Lytechinus pictus: one gene and its partners. The protein of the gene in region 3 interacts with the protein of the main gene of each other region in a pairwise test. Links are inferred from orthologs where the notes say so. Each region holds a gene or a part of one and is shown on either strand. Other genes may lie near its edges. The genes, in order: U2 snRNP-associated SURP motif-containing protein-like, putative pre-mRNA-splicing factor ATP-dependent RNA helicase PRP1 and splicing factor 45-like.

What was found.
Region 1: the proteins of splicing factor 45-like (region 3) and U2 snRNP-associated SURP motif-containing protein-like interact in binary tests that used the Homo sapiens proteins (3 or more experiments, as listed by UniProt). The link is inferred for Lytechinus pictus from reciprocal best matches to the Homo sapiens genes RBM17 and U2SURP.
Region 2: the proteins of splicing factor 45-like (region 3) and putative pre-mRNA-splicing factor ATP-dependent RNA helicase PRP1 interact in binary tests that used the Homo sapiens proteins (3 or more experiments, as listed by UniProt). The link is inferred for Lytechinus pictus from reciprocal best matches to the Homo sapiens genes RBM17 and DHX15.

The regions. Positions count from the first base shown.
Region 1 is NC_087260.1:6,517,345-6,528,756, forward strand, and holds the start of U2 snRNP-associated SURP motif-containing protein-like, read right to left. Parts: upstream 5,285-11,412; 5' UTR 5,236-5,284; coding exon 5,206-5,235; intron 1-5,205.
Region 2 is NC_087256.1:1,565,218-1,576,437, reverse strand, and holds the start of putative pre-mRNA-splicing factor ATP-dependent RNA helicase PRP1, read left to right. Parts: upstream 1-5,684; 5' UTR 5,685-5,746; coding exon 5,747-5,811; intron 5,812-10,579; coding exon 10,580-10,904; intron 10,905-11,220.
Region 3 is NC_087247.1:38,894,196-38,905,502, reverse strand, and holds the start of splicing factor 45-like, read left to right. Parts: upstream 1-5,916; 5' UTR 5,917-6,013; coding exon of another isoform or gene 6,014-6,066; 5' UTR 6,067-6,548; exon of another isoform or gene 6,549-6,552; intron 6,553-9,061; exon of another isoform or gene 9,062-9,145; intron 9,146-11,307. Other genes in the region: ribonuclease P protein subunit p14-like, read right to left, coding at 2,017-2,095, 4,710-4,871, 6,014-6,066. UniProt on the Homo sapiens protein: Splice factor that binds to the single-stranded 3'AG at the exon/intron border and promotes its utilization in the second catalytic step. Involved in the regulation of alternative splicing and the utilization of cryptic splice sites.

The DNA of each region.
Region 1 (11,412 bases), on a different chromosome or scaffold from region 3:
TCAATATAGCAGCAGTGCTGATTTTGAAAACTACTATAACTCGCACAAGATGTTCAGTGATACTTGGTTACTCTTATTTCCACGTTTTATGAACTAGACCAATACACTTATAGAGATATGATGGCAATTCAACAAATACCCCCAACATGGCCAAAGTTCTTTGACCTTACATGACCTTTGACCTTGATCATGTGACCTGAAACTCGCACAGGATGTTCAGTGATACTTGATTACTATTATGTCCAAGTTTTATGAACTAAACCAACACACTTTCAAATTTATGGCTGTAATTCAACAAATACCCCAATTTGGCCAAAGTTCATTGACCCTAAATGACCTTTGACCTTGATCATGTGACCTGAAACTTGCACAGGATGTTCAGTAATACTTGATTACTATTATGTCCAAGTTTCATGAATCAGATCCATAAACTTTCAAAGTTATGATGGTAATTCAACAGATACCCACAATTCGGCCAAAGTTCATTGACCCTAAATGACCTTTGACCTTGGTCATGTGATGTGAAACTCATGCAGGATGTTCAGTGATACTTGATTAACCTTATGTATAAGTTTCATGAACTAGGTCCATATATTTTCTAAGTTATGATGACATTTCAAAAACTTAACCTTAGGTTAAGATTTTGATGTTGATTCCCCCAACATGGTCTAAGTTCATTGACCCTAAATGACCTTTGACCTTGGTCATGTGACATGAAACTCAGGCAGGATGTTCAGTAATACTTGATTAACCTTATGGCCAAGTTTCATGAACTAGGTCCATATACTTTCTAAGTTATGCTGTCATTTCAAAAACTTAACCTCAGGTTAAGATTTGGTGTTGACGCCGCCGCCGCCGTCGCCGTCGGAAAAGCGGCGCCTATAGTCTCACTCTGCTATGCAGGTGAGACAAAAAGTGAAGAAATAAATGAACACTAATATATTAAAGGAATATATTCGTTGATCAAAATTATTGAGTGATCAGCAAACCATCTCTTTAAGATTTTGATGCCTATTTCTGGAACCCAGCGTCTGACAGGGCTTTGCTGCAGAGCTGCCAACCACACTTGACAAAAAATCCTATTATTTCACCCAAAAAATCCTATTTTTAGACAAAAAATCCTATTCATACCCGTCGTGTACTTTCCTACTATACATCTCATTATTTTGTTGTGCTCACTGTAATTTGACCTTGGTCATGTGACGTGAAACTCATGCAGGATGTTCAGTGATACTTGATTAACCTTATGTATAAGTTTCATGAACTAGGTCCATATATTTTCTAAGTTATGATGACATTTCAAAAACTTAACCTTAGTAACTGTCCTTAGGTTAAGATTTTGATGTTGATTCCCCCAACATGGTCTAAGTTCATTGACCCTAAATGACCTTTGACCTTAGTCATGTGACATGAAACTCAGGCAGGATGTTCAGTAATACTTGATTAACCTTATGGCCAAGTTTCATGAACTAGGTCCATATACTTTCTAAGTTATGCTGTCATTTCAAAAACTTAACCTCAGGTTAAGATTTGGTGTTGACGCCGCCGCCGCCGCCGCCGTCGCCGTCGGAAAAGCGGCGCCTATAGTCTCACTCTGCTATGCAGGTGAGACAAAAAGGAAAAAACTGTCTGCTTATTTTTTGCTAGAAAAGACACAGCTTCGAAAGAAACCAAGTATCAACATACATACAAATGCACATATGGGACTGTGATGTACTCACCTATGTGTTTTTATGTGTATTAATACATTTGGAAATCGGTCTTTTTGAGTCAAAAGAGAGGTCATAATTCCTGTTTTTAATGCTTGCAAATAGATTTTCAAAGTTCTGTGGAAGATATCTTAGCAGCAACATTTCGTATCGTAGCTCCCCGAGTCTGAATAGGCTGATAGCGCACAGATAGCTACATGTAGCTGCAGTGGTTTCATGCAAAGCTCACGTACGCCAGCCGGCCGGCTGGATAATAGCTACTGTATGCTAGAGCGGTAAGCCTATGTACTGTCATGTGTGTGTGTATTTGTGTGTAGATCAACAAAAAGGGCGCATGACGAATTGGTTGCAATTTGAACTGTATAAAGTTGATAAATGGTGCAAAATCGGGAGAAAAATTGCGCTACTTTGAAAATTATTGGTTGCCCGATTCGGGCCACCAAAACTTAACATTTTTCAATAATGATTGCCCGAGGTGGATTTCTGTTATGTCGAGCCTTACCATAGCTATATTTTCAAAAAATCGTATTTTATTTGTAAAAATCCTAGTGTCGTATTTTAAGTGAAAAATCGTACGGAATACGACAAAATCGTACTATTTGGCAGCTCTGTTGCTGGCTTAGCCTAGAGGACTCCGTGATGCAAAATGATTTTAAAAATATCACGGAATCCAATGCTGGCTCCCACATATTTTTTTCTCTCTCTCTCACTTGTTATGTTTTCCATTTTGTTTATTTTGTATACTGTGCATGTATCCTTAGTTTTAATTTCAATTGTATGTTGTATGTTTTAATGAGAATTTAAAATAAATGAAATGAAAATATATGCAAATCTCATTATCATGCACCTTTTCCTTTTTTTTATAACAAGTACGTAGCAAGGAGGCGGTGGGATGATCTTCCCCACCCTAACTCCCCCCCCCAAAAAAAAAGAGAAGAGAAACGGTGATAGCGAAGGGGTAAACAATGGCGAAAAAGAAAGCTTTGCGGGATTTTCTTTCTCATTCTCTCTAAAATTTTACTTCCGCGCATGTTTGCGAGAAAATCCTTGTTTTTCTCCTTTGTTTACCTTTTCTTTATTACCCCGTTTTTTCATCTCGGCTATATTGCTAGTTTGTTTTGTGGCGGCATCAAGTTTTAAAGAATAATATTTGGGAACGGAATTAGTATTAAGATTATAGGTCAAAGTATATGAAGTCATATTTTATTCAAAATGATCACCAACGTTCCCGATCCTTATAGGTCAGGGTGGTAAACTCTATAATGATAATGCCGTATACCCACAAAGGCTACTTCTTCCGTTTTTCAGCTCTTTACTAGTCGGTCATAATTTATTTGGGGACCACGGACGGCCTGTTCCTCATTTAAAAGGGGGAGTTATAAAAATTGTGCCGTATATATAAAAAAAGACAGTACAATATTACTATAGAATTATATGGAAGTTTATGTCATCAATCTCCTGTCGTCTACTTTGCGCCATTAATTAAGTTCCTAATCATTCAAATACACTGTTAAAATAAATTTAAAATCGCTGTCTACGATGTGAATCACACAGTAATTGTTTAAACAGTTTAAACAAGTATTTAAAATCTTAAAACACACATTTTAAATTTAAATATTTAATTATCAATAATTAAATTCAAATATTAAATTATCAATGATTTAAACATGATTGTTTAAATTTTAAACACTTGTTTAAAATGTTTAAACAACTACTATGCAATTCTCACAGTAAACAGCGTTGTTAAAAATATTTTTGACAGTGTAGAAGTGCTCCATATAAATGAGTTCAATCAGGGGCGGATCCATGATTTTCCAAAAGGGGGGCACAGGGCCAATGAAAAATTTGACAAGCAAAAAAAAATTTTTTTCAACCAAAAATTGAGGATATTTCGTCCCCGAAAAAAAGGGGGGGGCAGGTGAGGGGTTGATTATGCTACTGCCATGCGGTGAATTAAACAACAAATGGTGATTGGTGATTATCAAAGCGGCAGATTTTTTTTTTAAATTATAAATATATATTAACATCTTGACTTAGCATTTCTTTTTAAAGCAGGCAAAATTGTTTTTAAGTATTTCCTTTTGTTTTAAAACCATATTCAATCCTTCCTCATTGTTATAACATGTGAAAAAGATAAATAACATGAAATCATTTACGTTATTGAATCAGAATTCATATTTAAGAAAATCATGAATTGGTTATTCTAAATGTAAAATTAGAATCCATTTGTAAATATTTGTTGGATTTTTTATAATCACAAAGGGAATAATAATAATAATACAGACTAAAAAAATTCGGATCTAGAAATCTCTGAATATATTAAAACACAAGCACACTATTGATAAATATTTTTTTCATTTTTAGTATCATTAAATCAAAATAATTTGAGGAAGTTATATGAAATAAAACACACACCAAGCGAACATTCACGCTTTACCCCCCCCCCCCTTCCCATAAACAAAGCATAAAAAAGAATGAAAAGGAGAAAGAAAGAATGAAAAGGAGAAAGAAAGAATATAACAAATGACAACAAAAACTTATCATAAAAACACAAAATGTAACAAAATAAAAATATATATGAAATAAATATTTTTTTTCATAAATATAGATCTATTTTTTTCCAAAAAAAAAAAAAATGAAAAATGGTATTGAATTATATGCCTAAATCACGATTTAATTGAATAGAGACGACTTGCCGAAAGTTTTCACTCTTACATGCATATTCATTAAACTGTGCTGTAAAGGCATGCAGTGACGACATCTTATAAATATTCATATGCGCATGCGCAGAATTTTACCTCAAACATGGCGATCTCGCGATTGGAACAAAAGTCCGAAAATTGATGCTCTTTTGAAGGATTTCATGGAATTGTATTCATTATTCTTATTTCAAAGGTAAGCTGATTTAGGAACAGTTTGCTTAGGTAAGATTGATATTACTCGTTAGATTTTTAATTCATTATGATCATCGGTTTTCTAATGCCAAACATCGCGAAGTTTTGTACTCCGGTGATAACGAGTGGTTGCATTCAGGACCTCGACACTGTCTAAATAGACGTGTCGAGGTCCCCGGGGCAACCACTGGTACTGCTGGCATCTTTCATTTCAGACAAATACACTAACTTAGTTTCAGTCACTCTCTTTCAGTCGTATAACTCACATTTTACACTCAGGCAGCTAGCAGACATGCATGTGCATGTGCAATGAATCGACACGCTCACACCTAACTTAGCCTGGGCCTGCATGCACTGTATGCAGTGACACACGTCAGTCTCACTCACTCACTCCATCACGGCGCGGCACCAGTCATGCCAGTTCACAGTTGCGTTGAGTGACATGACTGCGTGCTTGGTTGCAATATTTCCTTTCGGACAAGGTGTCAAGAAATATAATCTTTATTCAACACTCGTAAAAAACATTCAAAGACTCAGAAACACCATCAATATTACAATAAGTTTACAATAACTGATGATAAAATATAATAAGCTCGTCTCACCTTCGCCGTTCCAGGAGCGAGGCCCGCCATGATGAATAACCTTCGACCAGAAACGCACGCGTCTACATATCGCACGCGCGCACGGCCGGCCGGCCGGGTACGTACGGGCGCGGCGCGAGCTCGTCGCCAGATCTGCACATTGGATAATGGATACTGCATGCATTTATCAAAACTATGTCTCCTAAATACAATACATGGTTGGCCCTAGATCGAGTGATCCTTTTAGGGATGCACCATTAGATATATCCAGGGGGCTGCAAGTTTTTCAAAAAAAAAAATTGACTTGCTATAATGAGCAAAAAGGAAAAAAAATGACTCACCATCCGGCTCACCATGCAGATATAGAGTAAAAAAAAAAAAAAAAAAAATTGGTCCACTGACAAATCACTGATCCGAGAGGACCGGAAAGGGGCAATTAAAAAAACTTGTTTCGATGGACTAAGGAAAAAAAAATTTACACAAAGAAGAAAGGAAAAAAAATTGCATCAATTAAGTAACCCAAACTTCCAGCCTATCTAATGGTGCGTCCATATGGCCCATATGGCAATTAAGCCCATGCAAACAGTGGTGGATCAGCGTCAAACTGAAATATATATGTATGTATGTATATATATATATATATATATATATATATATATTATAATAATATATATAAGAATATATATATATATATATATTATAAGAATATATATAAATTATATATATATATATATATTCGGTAGATATTCCACGTGTTGGAGTAATATTAAGAGAAACAAGGTTGAAACTTTCATGCTTTAATCCAACAAAATCTATTGAAGTCCACAAATTTTCGATAAAGACGGTTTGTATACTCGTCGAAAATTTGTGGACTTCAATAAATTTTGTTGGATTAAAGGAGAATGAAACTCTTGGAGCAAGTTAGCTTTTGTGAAAGCAGAAAAATCAAAGAATAAGATCAACAAAAGTTTGAGTAAAATAAGACAAGCAATAGAAGAGTTGTGAGCATTTGAATGTCGAGATCACTAATGCTATGGAGATCCTCCCATTGGCAATGCGACCAATATCTATGATGTCACAGATGAACAACTCTCCCCTTTTGGACACTGAAAATATACCCCCAAACATCTCTTTTTGCTCATTCTAATCATATGACAAACGATTCATCAATGATATAATGTTGTGAAACCTCTGTACTCAGGGGCGGATCCAGCTTTCGCCAATAGGGGGGGGCCGAAAAATATTTTCATCAACATTTTTCTCGATTGGCCGCTATATAATCAGATTTTTTGTTGGTTTATCAGGGGGTAGTCCTAACTAAAGACTGAAGTTTTAAGTATATGTTAGTTTTTATTGTTATAAACAAGTTAAGGTATCTCATGTGGTCTTAATATATAATGCGATCGCGAAGCGCGAGCTCAAATTCTTTGATATTTTATGTCCTTAGACCTGAAGATTCTGAGAAGATTTTATAATCATGAAAAAGATAAGTATCCAACTAAACAATGCGAACGCGAAGCGCGAGTCGAAATGTTATTATAGTAACGTGAAAAGAGGATTCAATTAGGACTGTTTTTTAGTGATAAATGAAGAGGATTACAAGTATCACCAATTAAATAATGAGAGTGCGAAGCGCGAGCTAAATTTTTTTGATATTCCGACCTGAAAACTGGACAGTCTAAGCGCGTTTTTATTTTAATAAAGAACAAAGCTGTGTGTCTCAAACAATTAAATGCGAGCGCGAAGCACGAGCTTAATTTTTTGATATACTGACATGATAAAGGAGCATTTTGACAAATTTTGGTAAGAATTTTTCAAAGAGGATAGGTAACTCACAAATCAAACAATGCGAGCGCGCAGCGCGAGCTGAAAATTGTGATATATACTAACAATTTGTGTAAATCAAACAAAATAATGAAAGCTTGATGTGCGAGCTAAAATATTGTGTGCAAATTGATTTCAGAACTGGATATATAAGTGCCATTTAATTCTCTTGAATGGGATTCATTACACAGGCAATGCGAGCGCGAAGCGCGAGCGAAATCTTTTATATAAAGTCTATTTTCCAATTCTTCCCTCACCTTTTTCTTGTTTCCTTTCGGGGTCGGGCCGGCCGTTACGAGGCTGTAAATTACACATCATGGGTATGCTACCTCTTTCTTACTTTTCTTTCTGTTTTTCATAATTTCTATCAAGTTAAAGAGTACACTTTTTTCTGCAGGTTGTCAAAAAATAGGGGGGCCGGGGCCGGCTCGGCCCCCTCCTGGATCCGCGCCTGGTACTTGTCATCTCATAAAGAGAACACCTCACCTTGTGATAGACTCTATAAAAGTGAGAATATAAGTGAAATAAGTACTAAAGTAATGAGGGAGTTGTACGTGTGTGACATCACAGATCTTGGTCGAATTGCCAATGAGAGGATCTACATGGCATTAGTGATCTCAATATTCAAATGCTCATAACTTTCTTATTATTCATTCAATCTTCCTCAAACTTTCAACAATATGTTTCTTTGATTTTTCTCTTTGATATGGATTCAGCTGGTTTCAAGGGTTTCATTCTCCTTTAAAGCATGAAAGTTTCAACCTTGTTTCTCTCTCTCTCTCTCTATATATATATATGAAAAACGTGATTCAGTAGTGAATCAGTACAGAAAAAAGAAGATTTTGCAGAAAGCAGTAAAACAATCATTCTGCAAATTCATTAAACAAGAATTTTTTCTGCAATTTAACAGAACAGGTCTGTTTTAAAAGGAGAAAATGCTGTTTTATTCAAGGAAATTTGTAAGGTTCCATACACCAAATACCAATTTCCTGTAAGTTTACATGATATAATGTAAGATTGCGCAACCTGGTAAGATTGCAGGTATATATATATATATATATATATATATACATATATATTAGTTTTATTGAAAAAAATAAAAAACACATTCACAAAGTTTACGGTTTGATAAAAAAAAATCACTATCAAAAGAAGATAAAAAACAAAAAACATACACATGTATCCAAAGAATGTTAAGCTCCGAGATAGAATTAGACCGACATACGAGAAAAAAAAACCCAAAACATCAAGTTCAAGTTCAAGTTCAAGTTTCAACTCAATGATAGCCTACAACATCACATATAGGAAATAATTACACAGATATAAAATGAAGACCATACAAACCGATACAAATGGATACATGTATATCCATTGCAAGCAATATGACTGTACAAGAAAAGTAAATAAGTGTTTATGGTAAACACTAAATAACGTAATAATCATAAAACCAATAACAATAGGGGGCCTATATACAGTGACAATAGAACAAAATGTAGAACATTCTCGATAAACAATTTGCAATAACAATAACAAATGCACAATCAGATGCCCATCCTGTTCATGATTACCAAAAGTGATTTAGAAAGTCAAAATTTAAGGTCAGAATATCACAAATTTTCATCTCGCTCTTCGCGTTCGCATCAGTTGTTTAGTAAGGTGACGATCGATCCTGTTCATGGATAGATATAAGTGCTTAGAATTTCCAACTTTGGGTCAAAATATCAAAAAATTTCAGCATGCACTTTTGCGCTCGCATAAAATGTTTTGTTAGCTATATATACTCATTCTGTTCATGATTACCAAAAATGTTTACTCGAATGTCCAAATATTATGTCAGAATATCAATTTTTCAGCTCGCGCTCGCGCTTTGCGCTCGCACAATAATAGACACCCATCCTGTTCATGGTTTACAAAATGTGCTTAGAATATCCAGTTTTGGGTCAGAAACTCAGAATATCAAATATTTATATAGATACCCAACCTCTTCGTTGTTACAAAAAGTGCTTAGAATGTCCAGTTTGGGTCGGAAATACAAAAATTGTCAGCTCGCGCATTGCGCTTGCATAAAATTTTGAGATATATACCCAAATGTTCTTGATCACCAAAAGTGCTTACAGACTTTCCAAATTTGAGGTCAGAATTAAAAAAAAAATTTTCATCTCCCGTTTCGCACCAGCATCAATTTATTGTTTATACCCATCACGTTCACGGTTACAAAAAGTGCTTAATATCCGATCGGGGGTCCGTTGAAGAAAGAGTTGCGTTTCAACGCAAGTCAAAAAATCAACCGCAAGTCCAAAATGCGCGCTGTTGATTGGTCGAAAATCAAGTTGCGCATGATTTTTAGAGTTGCGATTGATTGCAACTCTTTCTGCAACGGGCCCCAGGGGAAAACATACAGATGAAAACATTTTTCCACCTACCCCCTCAAGTTAGCGAAAGTTGGATCCGCCCCTTATAAAGAAATGTTAGCTCCCGCTCACATAATTTTAGTAGGGCCTACATTCTGATGAGAAGTTAAAATCCCCAAATGCTTAAAATTCTATGCTTTCAGGGGGCAGTTTCACAAAGCTGATAGTAAGTTAAGAGCGGCTTTAAGAACGACTGGGGATCCTTTCTTTTTAGAGCGTAAGAAGGGTTTACCAGTCACTCTAGACTTACGAATAGCTTTATGAATCCCCACCTGGTCACATTTATTCTTTTAAAAAAGTGATGACTTTTTTTCATGAACACATTAAAAAAGGTGGTCTTCGATTGCCTTTTTTTACACGTGATTGTTACATAAGATAATTTAACATACATTTAAGGCATATGTATATATATACATAAATATACATATATATATATATATATATATATATATATATATATATATATATATATATATATATATATAAATGTGTAAATGTGTATATATATATATATATATATATATATATATATATATATAAATGTGATCAATCTTGGCGATGTACGTGTACGGGTCTCCTTCATAATTATATTTGAGATCAATTGTATGGAGAGGGCCGTAGCAAGGTCAATACCCGTCTTCAATACCCGTCAACAACCCCCCCCCGTATATATACATACATATATATATATATATATATATATATATATATATATATATATATATATATATGTATGTATATATACGGGGGGGGGGGGGTTGTTATAATTTGGCAGCCTGTAAATTTGACTATTTTCGCCATTTGTATACGGAACATCACAATAGGCCAGGAGATGTAGGCTTATCTAATTAATTCTTCTCATTGTAATCACTTTCCCCCTCCTATCCTGTATCTATTTTTTTTTTCTCTCCTTCGTGTAGCTCTCTATCTCTTTTTTCTTTCCTTGTTCGTTCCTTCTTAATTTACCCCTAAAATTTTTTGCCGGATTTTTGTGCCGCCAAATAAAAGGGCCACAGCGGCGCCCAAAGTTTGGATCCGTGCCTCCCTACTTCTTTCTTTCCTCTATATACCTGCGCCCGTACGTATGGATGCGCTCTTTACTTTGTTTGCGAGCGCGGCGCGGCGAGCACGTTATGAAATAGAGATCGGGGCCCGTTTCTCAACACATGGACAAGTTAGTCATATCTTTATCCACCTACCACGGAGTTAGTTCCAATCTTACTAAACCTGTTTCTCGAAAGGCTTCCTAACTAGAATACCTTGATATCGATACTATCGGTAAAAAGTGCAGACGAGACGTAGCCTTAGTCACAAAATAGCATAATTTTCAAAATGTAAAATTATGACAAAATTGCAAATATTGTGATAAATTGGGAAATAAATATTTTCAAAATAATAGCACAGGTGAATTATGCATCATACATACTTAGACCATGAAGACTGGAGCATTCAATTGCAGAGAAAATCAAATTATGAATAATTCATTTCATGACTAAAAAATCACTTGTGGACGTTGAGATGGTTACCCCCGGGATATCCAATTTTAATAGTTTACGAAAGTAAACCATAATGGTTTTCTTTGTAAAATGAGGATAGATATACGGTCTTTTACGATTTCAAACGTCATAAAAATATAGTTTAACAACTTTTTTTTCTTTTTGATACCAAAACATACGATATTTTACAAATTATATGCATAAATTAGAGATAGAATTTATCCAACTGTTAATAGGGGTCTGAAAACAACAAATACGAGTTCAGTTATGGATGGCCTGACGTGGTAGAATCTTTATCGATTAAATCATTTTACTATTTCAAAATTAATGGTTTTATGGCCTTTTACCAACAGTTTTTATAGTTTATTTGTTTTACAATTAACATTGAGTGCATTCTCCCACTTGTTTTGTGATGTAATTTCAACCTCTATGATTGATTACGTAAGATTATAATGTTAAAATTTCTAGGCACTTTTGCATGTCATAGTCTACCCACG
Region 2 (11,220 bases), on a different chromosome or scaffold from region 3:
AGCCTGGATGACCCCTTTAATGCGCATGAAAAGCGCTGAAATAATTGATATAGGCCCACTGACATGAAAACATGGAAAGGGATATTTTAAACACTCACGGTTTGTTGGAATTTATAGGAATGAAATACGTATTTCGATAATCAAACATTTTGGCTATTTATCATTTTTTAAATCACGAACAGGATGCGTAATTGCGTATCTCGATGAAACAAAATAATGAAAAAAAAAATATCGCGATTAGATAGATTCCATTAATAATTTGTGTATATTAACTTACAAACGTGAATTTTTAGCCTCTTGTTTCATTCACCTTCCTTTTTTTATTCATTTCCCCATGTCCTTTTTGCTTTTTTAAATGTTTTTTCTCTCTATCTTTTTGGCTATTGGCAAGCGGCTGGATTCCTCGTAACCCTGCAGAAAACTCATCCTGGTTACGGGCCTGCGATTGTTATATTTTGTTTATTGCCAGAAAATTTTAAGATGAACTACAATTCTGTGGCCCGGTTTTTCGGTTTTCTCATTCCAACTGTGAACAACAACGACAACGAAAAATACAGTTGTCTGTTTCCTGTTCTGTTTTTAACATTTTTTTTAGGGGGCGGCAGAATTAAGCTATGCGTTCCACATTTATTTTTATTTATTAAAAAAGGTTATACGAATACCTAAATATGGATTTTCCTAAGCTAACAAAATAAATATTGCAATTTGTAACTTGATTAAACTTCCGTAACAAAGATTGACAAGGTTAAATGCCACTCGAGGATTTGATTGTAAAGTATTTTGGGATTCCCAGAATTGGCCATGCGTTAATATTGCTTAGGATCTTGCTTAGGATTACTTAGGGCCAGAAACTTTTAAGATGAACTACAATTCTGTGGCTCGGTTATTCGGTTTTCTTATTGCAACTATGAACAAGAACGACAAAAAATATGACAGTTGCCAGTTTGTTGGTCTGTTTTTAACATTTTTTAATGGGGGGTGGCAAAATTAAACAATGCGTTCCACATTCATCTTTAATAAATTAAAAAAATGTTATACGATACGAATACCTAAATATGGATGTTCCTAAGCTAACAAAGTAAGTATTGCAATTTGTAACTTGATTTAACTTCCGTAACGAAGATTGACAAGGGTAAATGCCTTTGAGAGGATTTGATGGTAACTATCTTTGGATTCCCATAATTGGTCATGCATATAGCTTAGGATCTCAGGTTCTGGATGAAAAGTTATTTTAAGGTTGCCTCATTCAAATTATGAACATTAAACTAAACGAAAGATGTGCAATGATTTTTATGGTTTTTTCTGTTATGTTATTTGGTAAAATCCTGCTTCTGAAAAACAATATTGAATATTTTTTTATATCTTGCAAACATTTTGGCTTCAGTAAATGAAATTGTTGATACCACACTAATATTGAATTGTGTGCATTTCTATTTCAATCATTTCAAAAGTGATATAACTGAGTGACATAAGTGGGCAATGCTAACGATTAACCTCCGATAACATTGATATATATATAGTGCTTCAGTATCCGGTCAGTACTTCAAATTGACGCAACAGCGACTTGCCCCTTTTCTGTTGCCACTTTCTCATACATGGTACTTTCACAATATGCATCTTTCAACCCACTCTGTAGACTTCATTTTTACGATTTTTTCTCCCATCAATAATTTGGTGCATTTTTCTGAGAATAACCCTAAAAAATAAAGTAAGTTTCACGAACATGGTAATGACAAAAGTGAAATGAAAATAAATTGGTCGCAGCTAGCTCGGAAGGAGATGAAGCTCTAAAGGGTTTATCGGCTATGGTCTGGGGGCAATTAAGCCCCCGCCCCCCAAAAAAAGAATAACAATAATAAAGAAAATGATATGAAAGGGGTGAAATATTTCAGAATGAATAAAAATCTATCAAAAATAAGATTTTTTATAATAAAAAGGCAATTCTTTAATTCAACTCGCTTCACTCGCTCGTAGCTTTTTTAAGAAAATTAATGGAATTATAGATTGTCCAATTCCAATGGAAAATCATTTATGCATATCAATTAAACCATACTATACAAATAACGCCGCCCCCAAAAATCGCACAGGCCACAAAGTATAAGTAAATATATTTTCTTCTTCTTAAAGGGATGGTCCGGGCTGAAAATATTTATATCTTAATAAATAGAGTAAAATTCACAAAGCAAAATGTTGAAAATTTGATCAATATCGGATAACAAATAACAAAGTTATTGAATTTTAAAGATTTGCATTATTCCGGTGAAACAGTTCCAGGCATGTCTTTATAAATATTCATTATTTTTAGCTGGGCTGATGCTGTCACATCCCCACTTTCCTTTTTCTTATGTTATTACATGAAATCATAATTGTTTAATTTTTTCATGCATGTGTAAATTATGTGTCTCCATATTTTGATGAAATAAGTTGCGCCAATAATGCACTTAATCAGTTGTCAATCTAGTTGTTTTATTTCTTGGTATAGTAAAAATTTGAATAAACCTAATTTCATATAATAAAATACAAAAGAACAAGTGGGGATATGACATCATCAGCCCACCTCATGAATATTCATAAAGACATGCCTAACACTGTTTCACCTGAATAATGCAAATCTTTAAAATTCAATAACTTCGTTATATTGTTATCCGATTTCTTCTCAGCTTCTTCTTCTTCTTCTTCTCAAAAGGAATACATTACAGGCATTAATTTCAAAGTGTGCAAAATTTCTATAATATGTCCGTGTTAACTAATGGTCCGGGCTGTAATCCGATTTTGATCAAATTTTCAGCATTTTGCTTTGTGAATTTTACTCTATTTATTGAGATATAAATATTTCCAGCCTGGACCACCCCTTTAAACCTCCTTTACTTCTGATCGTCACCCCTGATCATTATGCCTTGTGTTTTGTCATTTTAATTCTTATATTCATCTCACCTTATGTAGTACTTGTATAAATTTTTTAATGCTTTTTATGATGAGTCCTGAATAAATTTGAATTCTTCTTCTTCCTTCTTAATTCTTCCGGCTTCCGGAGTCTAATTAAGCTGGCCTTAATTTTCCCATCTTCGCGTGATCTGCTTGTTATTTTTTAACACATGCACACGTTCGTATATATAATGCAGAAAGTATAATGCATAAATGTAAAGGTGCTGCTATTAGAGCAAGAGTCAGGTGGTTAGAAAAAGGTGAAAAGTGCACAAGTTATTTTTTAGGTTTAGAGAAATATAATTCAGATAGAAAAAATATTACCCAATTGTTATCTGTAAACAAAGATAAATATTGTACTAAACAAACAGAGATATTACAGGAAGTCGTAAAGTTTTATTCATTGTTATTTAGAAAATCTGATATCGATAAAACTGAGAGAAATAATTACATCAAGTCAGTTCATGTTCCAAAGCTGAGTGATGAAGGAAGAAATAAATGTGAAGGATTGTTAACAAGTGCCGAATGCAAACGTGCTGCTTTTTCTATGAATAAAATCAAATCACCTGGTCTGGATGGTATTCCCATAGAGTTTAACCAAACCTTTTGGGACGACATCAAATATATTTTATCGAGCGCTCTTAATGAATGCTTCACAAATGGAAAATGTCTGAAAGTCAGAAAGCTGGTCTTATTACAATGATTTATAAGAAAGGAGACCATAGAAATCTAGAAAACTGGAGGCCAATCTCACTTTTAAATTGCGATTATAAAATAATGACCGCAGTTTTGGCCGCACGATTGCAATCGGTTATTGGACAGATCGTTAGCGAAGAACAAACTGGTTATATAAAACATCGCCTGTCTGCCTTTAATATACGTCTTACAATTGATGTCATTGAATTTATGAAAAGAAAATACTTAGATGGTGCTATAATGATGGCAGACTTTTCTAAAGCTTTTGATGTAATAGATATAAATTTTGTGTCCTCATGTCTGGAAAAAATGAATTTTGGAAATAATTTCCAGACATGGATAAAAATGTTGTACACAGATGTTCGAAGCTCTGTATTAGTAAATGGCTGGATATCAGAGTCCTTTTCAATACAAAGGGGAATTAGACAAGGCTTTCAGCATTACTCTTTGTCCTCGCAGCAGAATTTATGTCTAACAAAATAAGAAATAATGAATACATAAGAGGTATACCTGTTTTGAAACCAGAAGATAATTGTGAGGTTAAAGTACTACAACATGCTGACGATACCCTGTTCTTTGTGTTAGATAAAAGATCACTAAAATTGATAAATGAAGAACTTGAGTTATTTGGGAATGTAGCAGGTCCAAAACTTAATAAAACTAAAACAGTGATCATGTGGGTGGGGAGAAGTAACTCCAAATGGTCACTCAATGATATTGGTCTATCATGGACAGATATTCCTACAAAATACTTAGGGTTTTACATCTCACCTGATATAGAAAAAGCACGTAAAATGAATTGGGAAAATAAACTAACGAAATTGCAAAGATTATTATATAATTGGAGAAAAAGAAAGCTTACTATTTTTGGAAGAGTAACCATTGTCAAAACTCTAGGTTTAAGTCAGTTAGTAGTTAGTACATATTCTCATGGTTGATATTATTCCTGAGAAAATGTTAAAAAGACTGAATTCTCTAATATATACTTTTATTTGGCATACAAAGATTGAAAAAGTAAAAAGACCTATAATGACCAACAAACTAGACAATGGAGGGGTCAACATGATTAATCTATATACCCCAAAATTGAGCTTTCGACTAAGATGGCTGGGGCGCATTCTTGCGTCAAGTAAAGGAATGTGTTGTAAATTCAGCCTTTATTGGTTTAATATTTTAGGTGGTTTGAAACTACTCCTTAATTCAGACTTTGATGCTTGTAATATAAAACATATATATGCAAGCACCATCTTCCAGTCTTTTACATTAAAATATTACAGGCCTGGTTAAAGATAAAGAATAATGCTTGTTTAGAATATCACCCTAAAGTACATGGTCTACAATACGAAATTTTGTGGCACAATAAAAATGTAACCTTTCGCAACATCACCCTATTTTTTGAAGGATGGTATAAATCTGGGATATATAGTATTTTTGAAAGATATTCTCAGGAATGGAAATTTCGTGGAAATTCATTCCCTTCTTAAATCGCAGAAGAGTAAGCAAAGATTGATATTCGACTACACATTATTACGTCAGGCTATCCCTAAAATCTGGATAAATGATAATACATTACCTTGTACCAACCGCAATAATAAACCTTCATTAGAGTTTCCCAAAATAGATGTAGGAGCAAAAAATCAAATTAAAAATTTTCATGATATTTCAAGTAAACAATTCTATAGACTATTATCCTTAGATTCATCGAGCACTATAACAGATGCTATTTGTATTGGGAAGAGATAATTGGGTCACCATTAGATTGGACAAAAACTTTTAAAAGAAACTTGTGTCACTGTAAAGAAAATAAACTGAAAGAATCAAATTTTAAGGTTATATATAATTTATTGCCAGTAAGAAAGAATTTGTATGCTATAACAGATGGGAGATGCCCGCATTGTTACGTGGACGAAGATAATGTACATGCTTTCGTTGAGTGTAATTGTAAACCAAATAAGACAAGAGATTCTTTTCTTATATTTGACAACAGTAGCTAAGTTTGAATACAATGTCGACCTTCTTACTCGATACTCTCTCTGTTTTGCTGCATGCCCTCTACGGTAAATACCGTCGCATTGAGTAATTGTTTTTGCCTTTTTGCGCTACTGCAGCGAGAAATCCGAAGAGAATGTCAAAAAGACGTTTAGATATCGATGATTCATACAGTAAACGGAAGGGAGAATCTGATTATAGGTAATGACGATGACTTGATACTGATTTGTGATATTTTCCAATCTATTAATACGTGAAAAATTGTTTTTTATTGTCTTCAAGTGAGAATGATATTGTAATCGTGACATGTGCATTGACCATTGTGGATACCGGTACGGTACGTACGGGTGTCGTTGAGTGATGAGGATGCAGCATGGCGCTCGCCGCTGCATGCTGCATCGGCTATATCTAGTATGAGTGACTATGGGCAGGGAAGTGTTATAGATGAGTCTGACTAGCAGCAGTGATGTGTGACTGTGAGGCGCGATGACCCGTGGCGCCTGGGACGATGCTGTGCTGGCCTAAAGCTAACCTAAGTAAGATAAGTTTTTTTAAAAATGATTGTGCGTCTCAAAGACAGAGTCGAACAAAACACAACTTTGAATTGCATGGCATGGCTGTGTTTATATTACTAAGTAGTGTATCGTTCATGTACTTCTTCATAAAATAAAAAAAATATGGTGCTAAATGGCAGTTTCGCACCGCCACGCACCGGCTAACTTCGCTCAAATTTCCCCAAACCACTCATTTGTTTGCAAATGTTCCCGTTCCTGATTGCGATATTCGGAAAAGCAATTGGCATATTATTATTGACCCTAATTTAAAATGTGATCGAGACTAGAGACTTGCTTTGACTATGAGTGACATTTGCAGAAAATTATTTCTTTGAAGTAGGCCTGCGCGAAACTGCATTAAAGGTAAAAAAAAATATTGGGAAGGGGTTGGGTATAGCCTTGAGGACTCTGTGATGATGTTATTAATATTTTTACATATACTTTTACATCACGGAGCCTTGAAATCGTTGCCATACATTTCAAACAGTTCATATATTAAAATTATTAATTATAATAATATTCTCAAATTTTATTATTTAATAAATAATGATTTTATTTTTAATCTATGAATTGTTCTTCAAAACGGCACTTCGTAACATAGACCAAAAGCTTCAGTCTCTGTATTTTGGTTGTTCCGCTGAACTACGTTGGCTCCACTCACCATACATAGACTGAAGGGGATGGGGCCCCGTACCTACAGCCAACGTATAGTGAACTAGCGTTTTATAGATCGCGATTTAAAACTGTTTTTTAAGCAAAATTGAAAGTTTCATGGTTTCCATTATCAGGGAAATATTAATAACTTAAGTAATTGCATACCTTGGGCCGGAGTTATTGAAAAAAATCCTCTGGATGATTGAGAAATCTGTCATCTAAGACATTTTCACCTGACCTGACGGTCTTTCTTGCAAGTTGCCATCTTGAATGACGTCATTATCGTATTAACTTAATGTCTCGAATCGATATATCGCGATTATAACTAGTACTAGTACTAGTATAACTAGTATCGTTTATCTTCGGTTTCGTTCGCATATGGAGCAGATCGTATAATATCGAAAGCAATATCGATATCACATTCGTGATTGTTGACGTTCGTTTGTAAATATTTTATAGTTTGGCTGCCATTTTGACCATTTTTATCGTGTTCAACCCAATTAAACATCGGTAAAGTATATTTTTCATGCCTTTTTCATCTATATCGTTTAAAGTATTTAAATGTTAAAATACAAAGTTTTAAAAGTTTGTTGTTAATACATCCTTAGATTGTAAATTCGATGTGTAAAATTACATCAAACTTTGAACTGTGAATTGACAAAAGGGAGGGAATGAGAACACATGCGAGCCCACACGTACACCCTACCGTCGGTAAATGGGGATTACAGTAAAATGTCAGAAATTGTTGAATAAATCCCCAGAAACGACGGTTATTCCTGTCTATTCGTAACATAGCTCATAGAAGCTACGTCATATCGAAGCGGTTCAAGGGTCAAGCCTATTGTATTTGTAGTGTTTACGAATGGATCGAGGGATCTACATGAGATTGGTCTGGTACGAAACCTCTCATTTTTCATATTTATACTAACATATTTTACCCCTTCAAGTTCAGGCTTCATACACATAAGGCGTATGAAGGTTCATAGATAAATAAAATCAAGAGAAACAAACCGATTTCACCCTCTAAATATGGATTTCCTAAGGAAATCTATCTGTGTTGACAAGTCTCGCTTAGGCATGTATGGCGACCATTTCAAGTAAAAGTATATGTAAAATATTAAAAAACATCACAGCGTCCTCAAGGCTAGGTTGGGTACAGGTTAAATCTTGCCTCCTTATTACAAAATTAGTCGCTTTTCTGAGATGCGCCTATATTCGACATGTGTCATGATTCAACATGTTTATCAGACTTTTTTCACAAGCCAGTGCAGTCAATCACCACAGCACACACCAAACACATACACAGGCACTATCACTCTCCACCTGTGTTATGCAGGACAACAAAAAATTCAAGAGCTGTTACTGTCCCAAAGAAAGATATAAAAATAATCCTTAATATCAAATTCATCATGTGAAAACACTTTAAACTTTACTTGTATGTATAGCATTGTAAAATACATTTAACTTCTGAAACAGAACAAAGTATCTGCCAAAAGTACAGATGTCACCGGTAACGCAAAGCCATAGTGTACGTACTATTAATAGTGTGAAATTCTAATTGTGTTTGAACATGACAACGCAGCTTCTTGAAGTTCATCAAATGGATCCCAGAATTTTCCTTCAAGTAGCTGCAATGCCAATTGCTGTTTTATGATCGCACTAAACAAAACCATTGAGGATGTGGGAGAGTGTGGATTCATTTCAGGGGTAGGATTTGTGTTACCCTCCAGTTCTCCACATCCTGAATCTGGCCTGGGAAGGTAATTACCTCAGAGTGGATTCAGTGGAATCTTAGCTCTGTGTCCTTCTGACACTCCTCAGTGAAGACAAACATTTTGGAAAATTTCGTTCAGATCAAGTATGCTCTTACTGGCACCAATGGTTGCCATCCATGGACCAGTCAACATGTGATGAATGATACCAAGGCATCGGACATCTGTCTTTGCTTCTGTTGTCCATGTGTTCATGAATGCTCTGTGCAGGTCATTTGAAGGTTTCATTACCTTAGTAAAATATTTTGTTATCCCATCTCCTACCTCGCTTACTTGCTACACTATGAAACAGGATATTTGAAGCGGTTACCAACCAAAGGTGGTAAATAATTGATAGAGCGGTTAGAGCCTCTATCCTTCAAGGTCTTAATTATACAATATCCCAGTGGTAGCATTGTTGAAGCTATGCTGAGCAGCATGTATTAGAGCCTGTGCATTACTTTCCCCTCGCCGATGGTATGGCATTGCGTTAATGTTTGGAACTATCCGCTCCTTGTCCTGTGATGTCAGCACAGGATCAGGTTTGTTTGCGATTGAATCCAAAAGGTGCATCCCACATCTAAACTTTTTTGACCTTTTCCCAATCTTCTCTTCAAGTTGTGCATCCACAGTAGCATTGGTAACACACCTATCTGTCATGGTATTGCTACCCTCTCCTAGCACATCACTTTCAGCACACCGCGTAATTGCATGGATATAGTCAAGTGGCGTAATTTCCTTCAGCAAGAAATTTATCCACACTGTGCTGCACTCAACCCAGGTGAGATGAATGGGTACCCGGCAGGAAGAAATTCCTTCAATGCTTTGAGCGCCTAGGTAGCCCAGCTAAAGCCGGGGTAATAATAATAGCAGGGCCCGCTGGGAGAACAGTTTTCGGAACTGAAGCGGCTTCCCTGGGTAAATATACCTGTATTATTATTATTATTATAAGTGCTAGACCTGGCTGCTGGTTCTTTCCCATTAAATAAGTTTCGCTTCAAGAAGAAACTTTCACCTCTGCAATGTGCCCAAGGTTCCCTTTCGTCGTTCTATCATACCATACTTAAGTGTTAAGTTTCCTTTATTATAAAGAGCATCTGCAACCTGAATTCGGCATACATGTTGATGTAGTGCTTTCATTTCAGCATCAAGTCGATACTCTTATCGGATATTACTTTCTTTCAGGCTACTCATTTCTTATTGATTTCCTTTCTAGCTACTGATTGTTTCCTTATGGCTTCTTTTTCTCTCTGTGTGTCTTTTAGCCATCAGGTCCTTGATATTTCCTTCCAGCTCACTAATTTTTCCTCAGTACATTGTTTCCATATATGCAAGTTTTTCATTGTGTCGCTGTTCAGTATTGTTGTTTGTCTCCAACAAATGTGAACATGATTGTCATGTTGTCATTTCTTTCCTTCCTTCATTTGAATTGAGCTTCACATGCATCTCTTACCCCATCGCGATTGACAGACTTTTTCATCCATGTAGCATTAGGACCCCTGATAATGCCTTTTTTTTGCATTATATCAGTCGCTCATCAAGTTTGTACCCACTCATGTCATGCAAGTAGATGGTGAGTGGCGCTTAATATGTGCAATGGAGAATCCCTATTAACTTTACCTTCAAGTTTCCATTCCAATGCGTGGCTCTCATTTTCTTCTTGAGCAAACTGAGAAGGAATACCTTTCCAGCACATAAGTTTTCTCTTTTCATCTTTCGGGCTACAGTGTACTTTGATGTGTTCCAGTAGTTAATCATATTGCCTAAAGTTATAGGCCTAATTGGGATTAAATGGTTGTCTCCATGGAATCCATGGAATTGTAACTTTCATGTGAGAATACCCAGAGCTATGATGGCATCCTTGCTCTCTATTTTATAAAACATGAATTTATAAAGTTTTGAAATCGGTTGCAAAGTTACAAATGAACATCCTCAAATCAGTTGCAAATTGTTGCATGTATTAAACTAGACCAACCAGTTAATGAATTCTGTATTGTTTTTTTATACCAGGGACAGGGATCGAGAGAGGGAAAAGAGGGACCGAGATGATGACAGAGATCGAGATCGTGATAGGGACCGTGATAGAAGAGACCGTGACAGGGATAGATCACGATGGGAATCCTCAGGGGTTACCAGTGCACCCATGTCCGTACCAACTCCTACAGTAGTTATCAATCCATTGAATCTCACTCCTTACTCACAAAAATACTTCACAATCCTGGCCAAGAGGAAAACACTGCCTGTCTGGGAATACAAGGATAAGTTCATGAAGATGCTGGAGGAACAGAAGATTATTGTGCTCGTAGGAGAGACTGGTTCTGGTAAAACTACACAGGTAAGATAGAGAGCATACAGGTCAGTCACAACAAAGAAACTGATTCCAGACTGACACAAGCTATTATGTTATTACTAAATGACATACTATTGGTTGGTTTGGAGTTGGTTTCATTGATGTACCTTATAGTTGATGACTCGACTAAGATTCTGGTAAATCAACCATGTGCATGAATGAACAAGAATATCTGCACTTTCAAAATAAGTATTTGTGTGTGTAATTTTCAGAACTGTACAGTACCCAAGAGTGTTGGTAAATGTAAGTGTCAATTGACTATCATAGAGGATGTTGGGATAGATTTTGACTTTGTGTACTT
Region 3 (11,307 bases):
ACATATATGCAAAAACAATCATTTAACTAAACTACCCTTATGTTAATGTTTCATGAGCTAGATTCATATTTTTTTAAAGTTATGATGCCAATTCAACACATACTCCCAACACAGCCAGAGTTCATTGACCTTTAAAGGTCAAGTCCACCCCAGAAAATTGTTGATTTGAATCGATAGAGAAAAATCAAACAAACATAACGCTGCAAGTTTCATCGAAATCGGATGTAAGATAAGAAAGTTATGACATATTTAAGTTTCGCTTATTTTTCACAAAATAGTTCAATGCGCAACTCAGCGATATGCAAATGAGAGAGACGATGATGTCCATCACTCTCTATTTCTTTTGTTTTTTTATTGTTTGAATAATACAATATTTCAATTTTTACAGATTTGACAATAAGGACCAACTTAACTTAACCATAGACTGTTAAAATAATGGTAATTGCACATGTTCAGGGAGAAATAAAACTTTGTTTCACTTGACAAAGAGGAGAAAATTAGAATATTTCATATTTCATATAATAAAATACAAAAGAAATAGTGAGTGGGTGACGTCATCAGTCTGCCAATTTGCACACCGACCAGGATGTGCATACAACTGTTTTGTGAAATTAAGCGAAACTTTAAAATGTCATAACTTTCTTATTTTACATCCGATTTTGATGACATTTTCAGTTTTTTGCTTGTTTGATTTTTCTCCTTTTTTTCAAATCAATTTTTTGTTGGGGTGGACTTGTCCTTTAAATGACCTTTGATCTTGGCCATGTTCCTGAAATGCACACAGGGTATTCAGGGATACATTGCTGCTCTTATGTCCATGTTTCATGAACTAGATCCATAGACTTAAAGTTATGATGGCAATTCCACAAAAACCCCCCATTACCAAAGTTTGTGGACCCTGAATGACCTATGACCTTAGTCTTGTGACCTGAAACTAGCACAGGATGTTCAAGGATACTTGATTGCTCTTATGTCTAAGTTTTATGAACTAGGTCCATATACTTTCAAAGTTAGGACATCTAAAAACTAAACCTTGGTTAATATTTTGATATTGATTCCTCCAACATGGTCTAAGTTCATGGACCCTAAATGACCTTTGACCTTGGTCATGTGACCTGAAACTCAGACAGGATGTTCAGTAATACTCGATTACCCTTATGTCCAAGTTTCATGAACTAGATCCATAAAATTTCAAAGTTATGACAATTCCTCAAATACCCACAATATGGCCAAAGTTCTTTGACCGTAAGTGACCTTTGACCTTCCTCATGTGACCTGAAACTCATGATATTCAGGGATACATGGTTGCTCTTATGTCCATGTTTCATGAACTAGATCCATACAATTTTAAAGTTATGATGACAATTCCTCCTCAAACAACCCCAACGTGGCCAAAGTTTGACCTTTGATCTTGGCCATGTTCCTGAAATGCACACAGGGTATTCAGGGATACATTGCTGCTCTTATGTCCATGTTTCATGAACTAGATCCATAGACTTAAAGTTATGATGGCAATTCCACAAATACCCCCCATTACCAAAGTTTGTGGACCCTAAGTGACCTTTGACCTTAATCATGTGACCTGAAACTCAGACAGGATCTTCAGTGATACACTATTACTCTTATGTCTAAGTTTTCTGAACTAGGTCCATATACCTTCAAAGTTATGACATTTCAAAATTTAACCTTGGACCTTAATATTTTGAAATTGATTCCTCCGACATGGTCTAAGTTCATTGACCCTAAATGACCTTTGACCTTGGTCATGTGACCTGAAACTCAGGCAGGATATTCAGTCATATTTGATTACCCTTATGTCCAAGTTTCATGAACTAGATCCATATACTTACTAAGTTATGATGACATTTCAAAAACTTGGTTAAGATTTCAATGTTGACGACGCCGCCGCCGTCGGAAAAGCGGCGCCTATAGTCTCGCTCTGCTATGCAGGCGAGACAATAAAAACATGTATATATGTAACCTAAGAGTACAAAGGCAACTGTGCAGATGACTCACCTTTCGTGCAATGAAAGCACATCTCTGGTCTTCAAAACATCCATAAAGTGTCAAGGCACTCCAGAGCTTGACCAAATCACTGAATAAAAATAAATCATGTTAAGTTAATGTACTGCATAGCTACATGCGTATCCTTTGAATGTTTGATTTGATTTTAACGAAAATAGAAAGCAGAGGAAAGCTTCACAGAACAAAATTATTCCTAGAATTATTGGTACCAAAACCTTGAAAATGAAAATATACTAGTATGTAGGTCCTTTATAGAAGACCAGACCCATACTCCTTTCCAGAATAATTCATGATGGGTGTTAAATGCAGCCTTTCTGTGCCACCGTATAGGAAAATAAGAAACATGTGAATACAATCAGTTCACTTTAAAAACTTTCAAACATTAAGATAATTATGACATTTACAATAAAAGACATTGAATGACAGTGATACAAATTAATTCAGAAAAAAATTGATTCATTTATGGTTATTGCATTTTGTATACAATTTGTTTAACATGCTGTATGTTTATTGTTTTTTAAAAGATGTCATGTGTGTTTTGGGAATTTGAAGATGATTTCATTTTCATAGTAGTACTGTGAACCCGGGGGGCCACTTACATTGACGAGTGGATACCATGCGCGACCAAAAAAACACGTAAAAAGGATGTCCTTTTCACGATAGGGCACGTTACGTACGTAACGTGATAAGGTTGTCAAAAACACAAAAATAATGAAAAAAGGGTGTCTATTTCGCTAGGAAAATTACGTGTTTAGGGTCGAATTTGCGGGAATGATAAAACAAAATTAAAATGTTTTATAAAGGATGTCCATTTTGACCCAACACTTCGTGTTTAGAGTCCGATTTGCGCGAGGTGTAGAAGGTGGGGTCGTACTAAACCAAAATAAGGTAAAGCCGACGACCGAAGGACTCGTAACAATAAAACATTCCTGTATTTATTTAGGGGTTCATTTCAGGGAATATTTGCCAAGAGTATCGTTTTTGTTTCCAATACTTGTTAGGGTAGGGTTTCACACGCCAATACTTGTCAAGGGGTGCATTTTCAGAATATGGAAATTACGTGTTTAGGGTGCTTTTCGAGACCCCATGGTCGCGCATGGTATCCACTCGTGAATGGAAGTGGCCCCCCCCCCCCCCGGGACTGTGAACCATTGACAATGTAATAAACCATTAAATAAACAGACAAAAACGTAGTGAAGATGGAATATATGATTATAGGAATGGTTAATAAACAAACTTCAGTTTGAGTTGCAGTATATACATGTACTTCCTTTTAGGGGCAGGAATGGGGTACTTAAAATAAATGAAAACTATTGATACATATACAGTATTTTATAATAACATACCAATTAGTTTTATAAGTGAATGGGAACTTCTTGGAAATCCCAGGTAAAGTTAATAGAATTAAATAAAGTATGTGCCAGCACTACACCTCCAATGCACTTGGTACATGTTTGTATATTGGTGTAAGGTGCATGAGGATGATTTATCATCTTATTAATATTATGATGTCAAAGCTTAAAGATAAATTCCAGTTCTGGTGACGATCTCAAAATGACTTTTTACAGAATCTAATATAATGACCACCTAAGTGTCTGTTTGTATGAATAAAAAATATGTGCCAAAGGATTCTGGAAGAAATTGTGTAATTGCTATGAAATTAGCAAAATAAGCGCGGATTCTGTCACTTCCGTCGGGTCTTTATTCCAGCAATAATAATACACTGTCCCACGTGTGCCTATCTGTGTTGGCGATCTTCAGTGTGATCGTATTTCAGCTTAGATTTTATGATTTCACAAAGTTCAGTTTATGTAACTGTACCAGATCTAGATCCACGGTGATATAGTCATACTTAACCTTGGTTTTACAGACTTTCTCACGAAATTAGTGTTTTACTGCAACTACTATCATTTAGCTTTAAAGACAAAACTTTCTGAGCATGATGAATTTTTATTATTAAAATAAACTCAAATTCATGACGAGATATTTATAACTAAAAAACCCAGAATCCACACAAAGTTAATGTAGATACTTTGATTAGATTTAATACAAAATGGCATTTTGGAATATGAACTCCCCAGCAGACATTCAAATATATAATTTTCCTCATACAAATTTCTGTTTGTGAATGTGAATCAGTGTTCTAGCTAGACCCATCTTAGTGGTGGTCGCTATTTCACAGCATTACAAAGTTTTTTTCAGGCTGAGTTAGCAGTCTTATTTAAAGCCAAAAGTGAAGGAACATCAATGTAATAACAATCTTAAATTAACAACTCTTTGAAAATATAGGCCTACTAATATCACATGTAAGAATAAATAATGTAAATTATGCAAAAATAACAAGATTAAAGATGGATATGAACAGGTGTGCAATTATTTCATTTGAAATCAGTGGTGGATGGGAGCAGTGTTTTTTGTGAGTGGTGGTCAGATTTTTTCTGGGCTGGTTGAGCCAGACCACTGACGTCCACTGTCACTATCCAAATTGACCTCTACATGACACATTCCAGATATGCATGCACATAGTTTGGGATTAGTGGACGACTGAATGTGTTGAATTCTACCAGTGCAACTTGGCCAGGTTGAATTGTTTTGGGGGGGGGGGGTAGTTGGGGAGGGGGATAGGGATATTCTTGGACATTTCTTGGTTTCTCTAAGAAAATGGTAAATAATTAGATACACACCTCTGACGAACTTTAAGGATTCCCTGAATATTTTCAGGATCGTACATCAAAAGATCTACCAGAATTGCCACTCCAACGTCACCATGAAGTTGCTTTAATGCCAAACTCACAATTACCTCAAACATCCTCTCCTCGATAACTGGTGGTGAGCTTTCAAACTCTCTGTCGATGAAAAAGTAAGAAACAAATTAAAACCCCAACATATTCTGCTATCATAATATTTGTTCATATGCAATTCAATAACAATGAATAGAAATGTAAAATATACAGCATAGCCCTGGGAAGTTGGGTGCTGAAGCACCCACATTTTTCCAGGGGGGGGGGGCTGCAGCTATTTACCATATGCAGAACCCCATGGAATTCAGGCTGACAAGCAAGCAAAAATTTTTTTTTAAATAACCCCTTTAGTTTGGTTTTCAACTTTTTTTTTCTAAAGACACCCCCTGAACCCCCCCCCCCCCCGGCCCAGTACAGCAGTGTCAGCACTAGACCAAAAGCTTCAGTCTCTGTATTTTGGTTGTTCCGCTGAACTACGTTGGCTCCATGGGGATTACAGTAAAATGTCAGAAATTGTTGAATAAATCCCCAGAAACGACGGTTATTCCTGTCTATGTCAGCACCCGCTATTTAAAAATCAGGGCCCTGATGTATTGTAGGCCAATAGAGAAAGCATTGGATAAAATCCCCTAGCTTTATTTAGAAATTTTTATCTATTTTTGCACTACAACTGCAGACAGCTCATTTTCACATTCCACATTTGGTGGCAGCAGTGGGATACAGTACATGGGAGAAAAACGGCCCAGCCTCATGAGACACGTCAACACACAATAGGATTACTCATGGGATAAAGGCTCATAAAAAGGATGTGATAATGCTAAAATTTGTTGAGCATGAAGCACAGGCCTAATGGAAATAATTCTCTTCCACATCAAATCAAAGTATTGACTTTTGAGTAATGATTGGATTTTAATTTTTAAGTAACAAAGACTTTAAAATTGACGTCAGCTTCATTTTCAGGCAGCTGATCTGAACACATGATTTTGACATGCGTGTCGACGTCTTTCACTGAAAGACTGAAAGTTTGTCAAAATGAAAGGGTATTGATACTAACTTGAAGAAAAAATGAGAAAATATTGGTCATCAAAAGATAGAAGCAGAGAAATGAAGACGCTAAAGTTCAGTTCTACGTTAGTACATAGTGTAGACTTAAATTAAATAACGTGCCGTTACTCGTTACTTGGCCTACTCAGAATCTCTCAATATGTCCCCTCCACTTGAAATGAAATAATATCTCGTCTACTCACAATTTGACACTCAAATAAATGTATGCATTACAATCCATGATTTGAATCACCATTAACTCAGATCTTTCTAACGAAAGTCAGCTAGCTCGTGACTTTAAATAGCTTAGCCTTTGGCATTGCAGTGCCAGTGCCTAGCGCCTGCATGTCACAGTCGTCACAGCTAGACGGTCGAGCCGATATATATTGGCTGCTGGGCCTGGGAGCTGGAGAGAGCTAGCGAGATCGAGAGCTAGCTCTACATTCCGTCGTGTCTGATCTGCTGCTTCCCCTATAAAGGCTATATAATGATATTGTTCTTCATAATTTAAAAATGAATTTTACCTGAATAATATCAAAATATTTTGTTTTATATTTCAAAATGTAATAAGATGCAAAAATAAATGTAAAATTCTGGAACCCAAAATTCTGTTTTTTTTGAAGTTTTGTTTGAATAATTAAGGACACATCACAAAAAATTGGATCTCAGTCCAGGCGGCGCTAGCGGCGAGCACGAACGAGTTGCTCGAAAGCGTCTTCAAGATCAACCAAATTACCGGTATGTATGCTTTACATCCAATTATATTTTAATATTTATGTCAAACCTCAGTTATCTAGGTGTGTGAATATGTATAGAACGTTAAAGAAAGACATTTACTTTGCCTAAAGATACCGGTACGCTACGCCCAAGGGCCAAGTTTAATAGAACTAAACTTTCATATGCCGACTCCAATTGAGTGCGCTCGTCAGTGTAAACATATAGCGTTTCATAACAAGATTGCAGTAAGAGTAAATGGCAAGTCATAAAGAGTAGACGGCGCGGTGATGGGAAATGAACTGGAGAGCCAGAGGCGGCCCACTCACACTAGTACGAGGTTAGTATAACGTTAGAGGTCACAAAATTTATTTTTACTAAGCGTTAAGCCTGAGTCACTCATATCGATTATTTTGAAAACCGGTGTTCGACAGCTTTAATTCGATCAAACATCTGTAGTGACTTGACTATATCTTTTTATATATCTACATCTATGTATTCTTTCCTTGTATGGCAGTGAGTCCAAACTTCGCGTGTGTCCATACTTCGCGGACGGTCATTATCTAAAAAACTAGCCAATATTCTTAAAATCTGACATCATCAACGTGAAAAGCGACCTAAAATTACCCTTTGGTGTAAGTTTCTTTAGGATGAGTTCAGTATTCATGAAAATATTGGCAAAAGATCGGCAAATTTGTCACTGTTGGCGCCCGTTTTGAAGAAATCTGATATTTTCAACAAGCATCACGATATCACCATTTTGCAAGCAGAAATTATCAAAAATGTGAGTTAAATGTGGTACTAACCGATTCTATAGCATTTTGCCATCAATCTGATATAAATATTTCATTTTTTGAGCTTGAGTTTTTGTTTAAATGTCCACAAAAACTTTGCTCCGCGAAGTTAGGTCACACTTTTCTGAACGGTTTTCCAGCACAGCGCGCATTCGCCGATCAGAATAGAATTTTGAGATCGCGATACCGGCGAATCCCCTTGACCTACTTTACATTTTCGTCCATGATTTTGCAGTTTACGATCTTGCCGTAAATGTGGTAACTATTTCTTGAATTGGTTTTGTATAAATTATGAATATTTTGTGAACAAATTTAAGCCTGATAAATATTTTTGAAAAGTGCGCGAAGTTTGGACACCCCATCATATATATTTTCATTTATATTTCAACATTCTGTATATGTATATAAATTCTTTCTTTTATTTCAAATTTCATATATTCTCACTTGTTCACGCCATGTGTATGTACTACAATACTGTACATTCACAGAGCAAGACCATTTCCTGCCCAAATCTACTTCCTGAACTGCATTCTTCATCTCACATCTTTCTACGAGATGATGCTGTTACAAAGCCATTGCAACCTCCATACAGAGGACCCTTCCGAGTCATCCGTCGCACTGACAAGTATTTTACCATCGATTATAATGGTAAACATGAAAATGTCAGTGTCGACAGACTGAAACCGGCTTTCATCGAGCAGGAGGCTACCGCTCCTTCATTTCATCATCAAGATCCACCTGACCAAGTTCATCAACAATCCAACTCCACGGACTTGGCAGGGGATCCTGATGACAAGCATATGCCTCCCGAAATTCGTAAGACCCGTTCTGGTCGCCATGTCAGGTTTCCTGCCAAGTACGTTCAATTTTTCGGAGACGGTTGAAACATTTCTCAAAATTCACGGATGTTTCCACTCCTTTATTTTCTTGTTTTATATAGCCAAGTTCCCTTTTACTTTCCCTTGTCGATTTGTTACTACATTTCTATTCGGTACAAATCTAGGGGGGAGCTACTGTAGTGACTTGACTATATCTTTTTATATATCTACATCTATGTATTCTTTCCTTGTATATATTTTCATTTATATTTCAACATTCTGTATATGTATATAAATTCTTTCTTTTATTTCAAATTTCATATATTCTCACTTGTTCACGCCATGTGTATGTACTACAATACTGTACATTCACAGAGCAAGACCATTTCCTGCCCAAATCTACTTGGCAAACACATTCTTATATTGAGAAACAACCTTTCTTTTGTTCCTAGACTTGTAGCAAACATCCTTTCATTGTTCCTTGTTTATTACAATGAACTTGCAGGTATACAACATCACTACAAGATGCTTGCATGTTTGCTTTTCTCACAGTCTGCTTCTCTCTTCTTTGTTCTTTTCAACTTTGTTTTGCCTCCCTTTTTGACGCTTATTTCTTTGTCTCATCTTTTCTGATGTTGGTAAAAACAACTTGTTTTCTCTACCACATCATCACTCTACTCTCTGCCTTCGTCCTGTCCACTCATGCTGACCATCTCATCCAGCTGCTAGTGAGGATTGAATCAAATCTTGTGGAGGATCAACTTATACTTAATTATTTCTCTGCATTTTCCAATCTTATTTCTTACCGTCACTTCCACTCCTTCGAAGTCTATATTCTCTGCATATTTAATGAGCTCATTACTTCGCGAGACATTTTGTGACATCTGTCCCTTTTTCTACTCTATTTGAAATTGTGAAGTGTATATATTTCTATTCACGGATTTGTGCAATTTATCTGAGATTCTGAGCGGCTGGATCCCATTCTATCTTCTGGCGAGCAAGAATTAAGGTAGGACCTAACTTTTATATAAATATTAGGAGATCGGCTTTGCCAATTTCCTAAACATCGATGCATCGAATTTTGAAGGCATGGCGGGGAAAATCAAGTCTATTTTTTTGCTCTGCCTCTGGCATGTCTGGCCGGCTGTCGCATCGATGCGCACTGTATGCACTGACGGTATTAGACCAAAAGCTTCGGTCTCTGTTATGTTGGTTGTTCAGCTGAACTCCGTTGGCTTCACTCACCAAATACAGAGACCGAAGTTCTACTAGCGCGATCTGTACAGGGGACTCAATGGCCATATATCTGTTAACTTTATGTGTATTAAGTTAGGATAAAACAGGGCAGTGAAGTTGCGCGACAGCTAGCCGAGGTAAGTCACTGTTTTTGTTCCTTTTAACTTGATTTTCCCCGTTTTTTTTGCAATTAATGCCAAGATGGAATATTAATTTGCATTTCGGTCGGGTTAATTTTCAAAAGTTTGATTCATTAAAGACAAAAATTGAAGTGCCCCGACGGGGGGATTTTGCATTGTAAGTCCCCTAATGGTGGCTGCACGATAGTGAGCCGTCTGTGTACGAGGAGAAATTCAAAAAATAATAATATGTTAAAAAACTCCTCGAAACAGACGGCTGCCAGCTGTCTATGACGGTATGTGCTGGCCAGGTGAGCGTGTTGCACAAGCAGATGTCACAGAGCAAAGTTTGTATTTTCCATGATCACAAAAAGGCCGAAGGCCAATGTAGAATTCTTCCCAATAAGTTCAACAATGATATTTGCAGATGACAACATATAACTTAGTTTAAAATGAAACAAAGAAAGACATGAATCACGCAGTCGATCGGAATGATTTTCAGTCAACTAGCATTCGCAGTCCAGACTCGCACACATCAGCTCCGTACACTCACTCTCCCGAAACGACAGGCGTGCTTGCCAGCGCCACTTGTTCACTGCAACCATCCTGCCTGTGGGGACCGGAATCTACAGGTAGGACTATGGTATGCCAATGCTGTACACAGCACACACTTTAAAAATTCATTAAAATGTCACTTTTGTGACCAAAATTAATAATTTCCATACAGTTGCAATTTATTTGTCATTAGTAACCAGGGGCCCGTTTCTCAACACATGGACAAGTTAGTCATATCTTTATCCACCAACCACGGAGTTAGTTCCAATCTTACTAAACCTGTTTCTCGAAAGGCTTCCTAACTAGAAATAATACCTTGATATCGATACTATCGGTAAAAAGAGCAGACGAGACGTAGCCTTAGTCACAAAATAGCATAATTTTCAATTAGAAAAATTATGACAAAATTGCAAATATTATGATGAATTGGGAAATAAATCTTTTCAAAATAATAGCACAGGTGAATTATGCATCATACATACTTAGACCATGAAGACTGGAGCATTCAATTGCAGAGAAAATTAAATTATGAATAATTCATTTCATGACTAAAGAATCACTTGCGGACGTTGAGATGGGTACCCCCGGGAGACCCAATTTTAATAGTTTACAAAAGTAAACCATTAAAGTTTTCTTTGTAAAATGATGATAATTATACGGACTTTTACGATTCCAAACGTCATCAAAATATAGTTTAACGAAACATTTTTAATCATTGATACCGAAAGATACGATATTGGACAAATTATATGCATAAATTAGAGATAGAATTTATCCAACTGTTAATAGGGGTCTGAAAACAACAAATACGAGTTCAGTTATGGATGGCCTGACGTGGTAGAATCTTGATCGATTAAATCATTTTACTATTTCAAAATGAATGGTTTTGTGGCGTTTACCAACAGTTTTTATAGTTTCTTTGTATTACAATTATCATTGAATGCATTAACCCACTTGTTTTGTGATGTAATTTCAACCTCTGATTGATTACGTAAGATTATAATTTTAAAATTTCTAGGCACTTTCGCATGTCATAGTCTACCCACGTGATGCCACTACGTCACTAAGAAAGAAGTTATGACAGGTTCGGAGGTGTCATAAATATTTAGTGAGGTTGTTGTACCCGATCTTGGTAAAGAGGGCTTCGTGAAACGGTTAGCGGACAAGTAGCTCACTATCTCCGATTTAGTCAAGAAGTTAGACTTATGACGGTGTTGAGAAACGGGCCCCAGGGAATAATATTTGTATTCACCAGAGCGCT